Schizosaccharomyces pombe: one gene and its partner. Each later gene encodes a partner of the first gene's protein in a complex. Each region holds a gene or a part of one and is shown in the gene's direction. Other genes may lie near its edges. The genes, in order: gos1 and sec20.

Region 1 (4,812 bases):
AGGTCCTGGAGGAGCGGTGCCATAGTAGAAAAGAAAAATCTTCGACAATGGTTTCTAAAAATTTCAGACTATTCAGATCAGCTGCTCGATGACCTTGAAACATTACCAAAATGGCCTGACAAAGTAAAGAAGATGCAGCGCAATTGGATTGGTCGAACTACGGGTTTTGAAATATCTTTTCCTTTGCTAAACGATAAAGAAACTCTTACAGTTTTCACTACTAAACCTGAAACAATAATAGATGTTAGTTTTATAGCTCTTTCAAAAAACCATAAACTTGTTTTACTAGAATCCCAAAAGGATCCTTCGTTGGCAGAACATCTTCGCAATGAATCCTTACTAGACAAAGGATATCAGCTCCCGTGCTTTGCAAAAAATCCAGTAACTGGCAAAGCTTTACCAATATTTTATGCTCCTTACGTTTTGGACTGTTATGGTACTGGCGCCGTTATGGGCGCACCTATTCACGACCGCCGAGATTTTGAGTTTGCTAAGCGTAATAACATAATATTTTCTAAAGAAAGTTGTATAGGTTCATATTTTACAAATGAGGGAAAAGAACTTTTGAATCATCATGATTCTTCGAATTTAATGGATATCAAGCAAAAAATGCTTCAGCAAAAGATTGTCAGTTACCTTGAAGAGAAGAAATTAGCCAAACGTGTTAAAAATTATAGACTCAAAGATTGGCTTATATCAAGACAAAGATTTTGGGGTACTCCTATACCAATGGTTCACTGCGAAACCTGTGGTGCTGTCCCAGTCCCTGAATCTGAACTTCCTGTAAAGTTGCCTGATCTTGATAAAATATATGAAAAAGGTACTTCGCCGTTATCAAATCTAGAAACATGGATGAAAACAACCTGTCCGAAATGTCATGGCCCAGCAACAAGAGAAACTGATACTATGGACACATTTGTAGACTCATCATGGTATTATTTTCGTTTTTTGGATTCTAAAAACTCGGAGCTTCCTGTAGGTTTAGCAAGTGCGTCCTCTTTGATGCCTGTTGATATTTATATTGGTGGCGTTGAGCATTCAATACTTCATCTTCTATATTCCAGGTTTTTTTCAAAATTCATGAAGGATATTGGGTTATGGAATGGTGATAAATATTTAAATGAACCATTTACTCAACTAATTACTCAGGGGATGGTTCATGGTCTTACTTATACAACGATGTCGGATGAACGAATACTTAATCCAAAAGAAGTCCAGAAAATTGGAGACGAATATTTTCTAATCAGTAATCCTAAAGAGAAAGTTCAACTTTCTTACCAGAAAATGAGCAAAAGCAAGCATAACGGTGTAGATCCGATACGTACTATTCAAAAATATGGCTCAGACATTATTAGAGCTTACATAATATTTTCAGCTCCAGTGGAAGGCGTACTCCTTTGGAATGAAAATGCAATAATGGGAACAAAACGGTGGTTAACCAAAATATGGAATTGTGTTCATCAGTTATTGGAACGTGAGAAAAAAATGTCTGATGCGATGAGACAAACGAAGTTAACTATTGTCGACGATCACAATAGCAGGAAACTCGAATCACAATATAATGAATTTATTTCACAATGTTCTGCTCATTATGAAAATGTATTTTCTCTCAATTTAGTAATTTCTGACGCCATGAAATTGACTAATAATATAGCAGATGCTTTAAAAAATAACAAAGTCAATATCGGAACAATTAAAGCATCTTTGGAAGTGCTTGTGAAATGTATTGCTCCAATAATACCTTGTTTTTCAAGTGAGTGTTGGTTGCTGCTAGGACATAATTCTTCCGTTTACTCTAACTGGCCCATTTCCAAAAATAAAAAGGAGAATATGGAGGAGCCCGTTACTATTCCTGTCCAAATTAATGGTAAGGTGAGATTTAAGATTGAAATGCCCAAACTCAATGATGAAAATGAAATACTAAATTTTGTGCTTGAGACGAATGATGGGAAACGTTGGCTCTCTAATAAAAAAGTTTTAAAATCTTTTGTGAAACAAAAAATCATCAGTTTAGTCACCGACTGAAAGTTGGTTGAGACACGAGCTTCATGTTTCAAAATAATTTTGATATTTACCATAACAATGCAATGTTGGTTGCGTAGTTAATTTAATGCTTAAAATTCATTTTGAATGAAAAATATCCTATCTTAATATCACAATGTTTTCTAGTAGCATAGCTTTTCTATCACTGGTATATTTAGGAATCTCTACGTAGTGGGATACTTCTCTAAACTACATACTAGTAAGAACGTCATCTGAAAGCCACATTAATCAACAGAAGAGAAACGTTTGTTTTAAAATCATAACTTAAGCTACTAATTTTTCTCTTATAAAAATTTGAAGATCTCTTTAGCCATGAAGTCTATGCTTTTGAGAGATTCGGTGAAAAAAGCGTCTCAGTTCCAAAGATCGTTGCACAGTGATCCTAACCAAGCTAAAATTCTGCTAGAGGAAAGAAGGAAGCTTCTTGAAGAAGCCAACTCTTCAGCTGACGAAAATGACTCGCATTCAATGGCTACTATCAAATCACATTTTGAAAGACTAAAACGAGATGAGCAACTTCTTAATGGCGTTTTGAAAAAATATGATGCGAAACAGGAAGTTCTATCTCCTGAAGAATTACGAGATGCACAAAACTTTTTAGAAATGCAAGAGGCAAACTCTTTAGACAATTCTATTAGAGGCACTAATGAGCTTCTTGAAAGAGCTTATGCTACGAGGGAAGACTTTGATTACCAAAATAGCGTCTTAGGAAATGTGACCAATCGCATAAACGGGGCGGCCATGTCAATCCCTTTTATTAATCAAATATTAAGGAAAACCTCGATCCGTCGAAGACGTGATTCTATCATTTTAGCTTTACTCATATCTGTCTTGATGCTTTTGTTCCTTTTTTTTCATTAAGTTGCATGTTTTATGAAACGTTTATGAAGGGCATTGATCCCGCCAAAGTTATGAATATGTCATAAAGGTTTAATTAAGATGAAATAATATAAAAGTCCTTTTACTTTTAACCAACGTTTTTATTTACCAAAAACTTAATCGCTGTCTTCAGGTTTTCAATTTCGACATTAGTTGGATCACCGGTTCCAAGCCAGCGAATTTTGCAGGAATCGTCAATTAAATACACATTTCCAACAAGTTTGTTGTTCCATCCTATTTCTGGGAAACTGAACTTATTGTCGTATGCTGTAATATATTCATTCTGCTAGTTAGCAAAAGGTTATAAATTTTGGAAGTAAATAAATCTATCTTATCAAGCGAACAAACTTGTGAGCAGCTTGGACAAATAATGCGTCTACTTACCCAGCACTTTTCTGGTATTGATCTTTTAACTTTTCCTATAAATATCTTCTGTAGCCAATATTTTATTAGATTGGATTGAACATTTGCATAACGAACTGGCAGATAATCAAATGGAGCTAGATGTTGAATCCAATTCCTACATTGGTTTTCTCCAAACGCGTTGCTAAATAATGCAAAGAAAAAGGGCGAGCCTTGCCAATCTTTATATAGCTCTTTGTACTGATTTCGTAATGACTTCCCATGAAAGTTGTACATCCATAAGGCGCTCTAAAACGTGTCAATATTTTTAAGCAATAAACTAATTTTTTTTCATTCTTATTTGAAATTTCCAGAAATGAATATTACTTTTAACCAATTGTTCATACCTTCTCCTTAAATAATCTTGGAGGACTGTAAAACAGCTTACCATTAAATCGACGAACTTCGTTGAAATCTTGAATAGTTGATCTCTTCATTTCATTCAGCAGCTCCTTCTGTCTTTGCTCAGGAGAAGATGTACTCGCGGGTTTGGTAAGTTTTTCCCATAATGTTGGCTTTTGGACTTCAGAAAGCATCGTCGGTTTTACCAGTAAACCTACTGGAATGAGAGCAGATGGGGCTTTTTCTTTTGTATCATTGAGACTTTTGGTGCTAAAAGAACGCAACTTGAACTGATGCTTAACAATCAACCTCGGAATGACTAAATTTTTTAAATAATTATATGCCATGTTTACCAATTATAGGTAGATTAAAGGGGAAATAATCTTTAATTTATTATGCGATTTAAGAAACGCAAGGATGAACTTAATTATTATTATAAACTTCAATAGATAGGTATAGCAGAAAGGAGCTGTTGTTACAGGTGGAAGTACTCTGACGTTAAAAATTCATATCTTAATTTTCATTTTGGTTTTTTAATTTGTTTTTGGACATTAGTATATATCTACGATAAAGGTTTTCTCCTTTTAATTTCATTGTAATATAATTCAAGACTAAAATTGGCTTTTCATTGGATTGCGAATCTTTCATTGAATACTATCTTTTCAACTTACATTGAACGTGCATGTAAGGATAGGAAATGGAATGCTGAGATAATGAACAATACAAACCTTTCTAATTAATTCAATGTTTAAAGCAAACTCATTTAGCGAAAAATTCTAGCTTATTAAAACAGCTGTCAACCAGGGCGTAGAGATTACAATATAAAGACCTTACTTACCCTTCTTAATGTACTACAATACAAAATCATAGTTAAAAGAGTAGCTTTTTACGTCCCTGCCGACTGTTTATGTAGATGCATGAAAAACTATGAGAATATAATTTAGTAATCGTTTATATAAGCTAATACGCATTAATATTATATTAATTCATAATGCTTAAAAATCAAAGCAATTTCAATTTCCAAGTGGGTTAGAAAGTACTAATGGGGGGTCCATATTCTCTTTAAGACATTACTCACTTGAATAGCAATTATGACTTCGTCTACTACCTCAAGTACTATGTGGGGGGGTTGACCACTTATGAAAG
Region 2 (3,756 bases), 3.3 Mb from region 1:
AAGTACAAAGAGAGATCAGATAAACAATGAACCAGTATAAAAAGAATGGTACCATTCAATATACAATACACTGATTCTTTTTTCCTAAAACACAGATATACAAAAAGCCAAAAAAAGAGAAAACAAGATACCAAAGATGAAGGCTCCGCCGATTTATTTTACCACTAAAAATATATACAAATGATAGCGAAGCTGAACGTCATCGTTAATCTCTTCTATTAGGATATCTAAGCCAGTACACTGTCATTTTGGTTCCTAAAGGGCACGCGATTTGTGCAGACAAAGAAGTTTGGTCAATCTTAACAGCAATAAACACCCAAATGATAATATCGCACGTGAAGAAGCGACTGACTACATGTGAGACGATTTTCAATGAATGAACATTGTGGGGAAAGGATCTGGGGAATTCCCTTCCAATCGTAACATCTTGTTGACAGTGATTCGTTCGACTAGCCAAAGGTAGCGTAATGCACTGTAAGATTATTGGGTATTATTTTGCTTATCAATGTTGATTGGTTTTTGTTATTTAACGTTATAATAATATTTACGCAATTGGATCTGGTTTCCTATTTTACATAAGGATACACTAGCAATCCTAAAACGAAGCCACAGCATCGTTGGTTTGCTATATTTACGATTACTGTGTGGGTGTGGGGTATGGTATGGATATGGATATGAATCATTAAGATTAAGGACCAGTTATTTACTAGTGGAAGATATGAATAGGGTGGATGTAAATTTATCATTATTATTTTTAACGGTAAAATGATTTTCTTAAAGAGACCTACAAAACTTTCTTTACATGATTGGTGCAACGCATGCTTTTCTTTATTTTTTTTCCTTTGTCCACACTCAACTGAGAGGGTAATTTCTATCAAAATTTTTAGTACCAAGGCCAACGCACTGTCTTAGTTCGCTGTAAATGAATTGCGTAACTCAAGAACTCTTTAACAAAAATTGCACGGCGCTAAAGTATTTTTACGATGCTCATTCCTCCTTCCAATGCTTGACTGACTCATATCTGCCTAATAGCGATTTTTAAGACCTTCTGTTTTCCAGCTGACTCCAATATATCCAATTCAGATATGAACAAAAAATCAATTCTCAAAAAGCCGAAAAATGCTCAAAGCACTCAAGAAAAGCAATTGATCACGTGGTCGAAGAGTCTTATAGATGAAGCACGCAGTCGACTTCAGTATGATTTTTTTGCCCTCGAATGGATTGAAAAGCTGGTTGATCCGGTTTCCCTAGAAACTTTAGAGGAAGCTCGTAAATACCTTCGAAAAAGTGATTACGATCAAGTGGTGAAGGAGCGTAAACTCGTCAATCTGTGCGGTTATCCCGTTTGTCCTTATGAACCTAAGCAGCAAACTAGGTATAAATTAGAAGATTCAGGAATGAAGGTCTACGGTGGACTCAACTATTATTGCTCGAAGGATTGCTTTCTAAAAAGTTGTCAATATATGGTTGAGTTGAGCGACGAACCATTATGGATACGTGAAGATGCTCGCGAAGCTATGAAACAACATCTCGATCCTCGTCAAGATGAAGCATTTCGTAAAGAGTTGGAAAACAAAAAAATTGAAGATGTACGCTTACTCCTGCAAGCGTTGCCTGTGGGTTATAAGGCAAAAGTTGGTGAAATCGTTGAACATCCTTTGGCTAATGAACAATCATAAAGCAAATGGAAGTTTATCAAATTTTTTCTTTTCACCCCAGAATATGTATAATATTTTTGAACAAAAAAGACACCGACTTGTGTCTAGCGTCGTTTGAACTAGAATGAAAGGTTGCTTCATTCTACAGTTGCGTGCATAGTAACATTTCTGTGGTTTTCGACTTTTTATTAAAGATCGATACAATATTCCCTTTACCATTTACACTTTCTAATTTATTTCACCTTATTGCCTTCTATCTTTATTGTCTCTTTCTCTCTCTTAGCATCTTTATTTCTCGTTATTTATAATTCCGCATTTGATTTCTTTTCCTTATTCTATATACCGAACCTTTCGATGTATAGTCTTATATTCACCTTCAGCTGTGCTATATTGTTAGTGCATCCATCATTCGTTTCCCACTCATCATCATTTACCTTTATCGTTCTTTCCTCTTGCATCTCATAATACTATTTCTCCTTTAACTTGTTCAATAAAGCAGAGAACATAGCATTCGATGGCCGACGTTCTGAATGCACTAGAAGAAAAAGTTGTTGAATTACAACAGTCAGAAAGCGTTGAAGTTATTAAAAGGCATTTTCGAGAGTTTAGAAAAATATGGGAAACTGCAAGGGTAGAGCTTGAATACTCATCCATTCAGCTAGACTCAGTTCTACGATATGAAAAGGCTGTACAAGAATACATTCGGTTGAACAGAAGATATCGGAATAAGATTGCTAGTGGTGAACCATGGTTGCCTATCGCACAAGAAATAGGTAAGATTGTAGATGAAGAGGAAATTACCTCACCAAGTGATGGTTCTCTTCAAAAGCGTTCAATGGATAACTCTGGTTCGTGGCAATCTGATGATATTTATCTTACAAGCGCCAGTCAGGTCACGGCGGCTATGCGTGATATTCACGCACAAATGGTACAGGCAGTGGATATGAGTGCCGAAAATGCAATGGAGTTGTCTTCGAGTACCAACTTGTTAGAAACTCTACAAGAGAAATATTTTGGTGTAGAGGACGTTTTATATACAAGTAAACGGATAATCAAATCGCTCAAATTAAGTGATCGAAGTGATTACTTTTTAGTCGTCTCGGGATTTGGGTTCTTCATATTTGTGGTTGTCTATCTTCTCTTCAAGCGAATTGTCTGGCCTATTCTTTCTATGTTTCTTTGGTTTCTTCGGTGAGATTTTGAAAATGCATTGTTTATTAAAAAGAAAGGCGAGATTAAAAGCAAGGCTTTTTGAGGCTCGTTCCCATCGAGCTCGAAGTATCTATACGAGAAATTATTTTTTCGCCCTTTTTCTCAATTTTATTTTGAAAAAGTCTTTGTAAAGTAGTTCTTATGTTTTAATGTTTATCTTATACGATTGGTTTTTATTTACGTGTTGTTCTCTTTAAATAAAAACGTTGAATGGCGTAGAAGTTTGCTGATGATAGTAATGCTATAGTATTTGTAACTCAATGGGAAACGCCATTCCGTAAACAAAATGAGTTCTTGCTCACGAAATATGCGACAGTCGGCATGCAGCTGCATTTCAAATCATTCTTATTGTATATGCCTCTTTGATTGTCAAAACCATTTGTTTGACCACAGTACAAAAAGAGCAGTATTCTTTGAATTCCTAATAAAAACTAGAGCGCTTGTTAATTGGGAAACGCATCTTGTTAAGTCTGTCGCATATTTTCTAGGGTCCGGTACGAACGCCTAGAATCTGAGATCGGATAGCAAACTCCATTAAACCTATAAACTTAAAACTAATAACTGCTTATGTAAAAATTCATTAACCAAACGTTCTAATTATTCAGTGTCCTGGTTCTATTTGTTTGTGTGCTTTCTACTTCAAATGCGTAATATAGTGTTTACAAGCACGTAAGCATAACGATATAAATTAAGGCACATGCCCCGCGATGTCTCACAACAACTTGTCTTTAACCAAACTCTTTACGTTAGTTAACGGAGATATAAGTCTTTAAAAGAATTATCATAACTAGGTATCTGTCGTTTGATCTCGTACTTATTTCTTTGGTCGATTGGTGATTACTAGTGTAGGAGCATTCAATTAGATATAAACATTATTAATTCCGTA

The links.
Region 2: gos1 (region 1) and sec20 share a complex: the UniProt entries of both Schizosaccharomyces pombe proteins name them as parts of the SNARE complex.

What each region holds. Positions count from the first base shown.
Region 1 is NC_003424.3:779,132-783,943, forward strand, and holds gos1 (SNARE protein Gos1), read left to right. Parts: upstream 1-2,229; 5' UTR 2,230-2,355; coding exon 2,356-2,904; 3' UTR 2,905-3,010; coding exon of another isoform or gene 3,011-3,205; 3' UTR 3,206-3,306; coding exon of another isoform or gene 3,307-3,573; 3' UTR 3,574-3,671; coding exon of another isoform or gene 3,672-4,013; 3' UTR 4,014-4,288; downstream 4,289-4,812. Other genes in the region: SPOM_SPAC4G8.09 (leucine--tRNA (Leu) ligase), read left to right, coding at 1-2,025; atp10 (F1-F0 ATPase assembly protein), read right to left, coding at 3,011-3,205, 3,307-3,573, 3,672-4,013. UniProt on the Schizosaccharomyces pombe protein: Nonessential SNARE involved in retrograde transport within the Golgi complex.
Region 2 is NC_003424.3:4,103,039-4,106,794, reverse strand, and holds sec20 (SNARE protein Sec20), read left to right. Parts: upstream 1-2,076; 5' UTR 2,077-2,172; coding exon 2,173-2,853; 3' UTR 2,854-3,062; downstream 3,063-3,756. Other genes in the region: RNA polymerase II CTD phosphatase Rtr1, read left to right, coding at 1,086-1,679. UniProt on the Schizosaccharomyces pombe protein: SNARE required for targeting and fusion of Golgi-derived retrograde transport vesicles with the ER.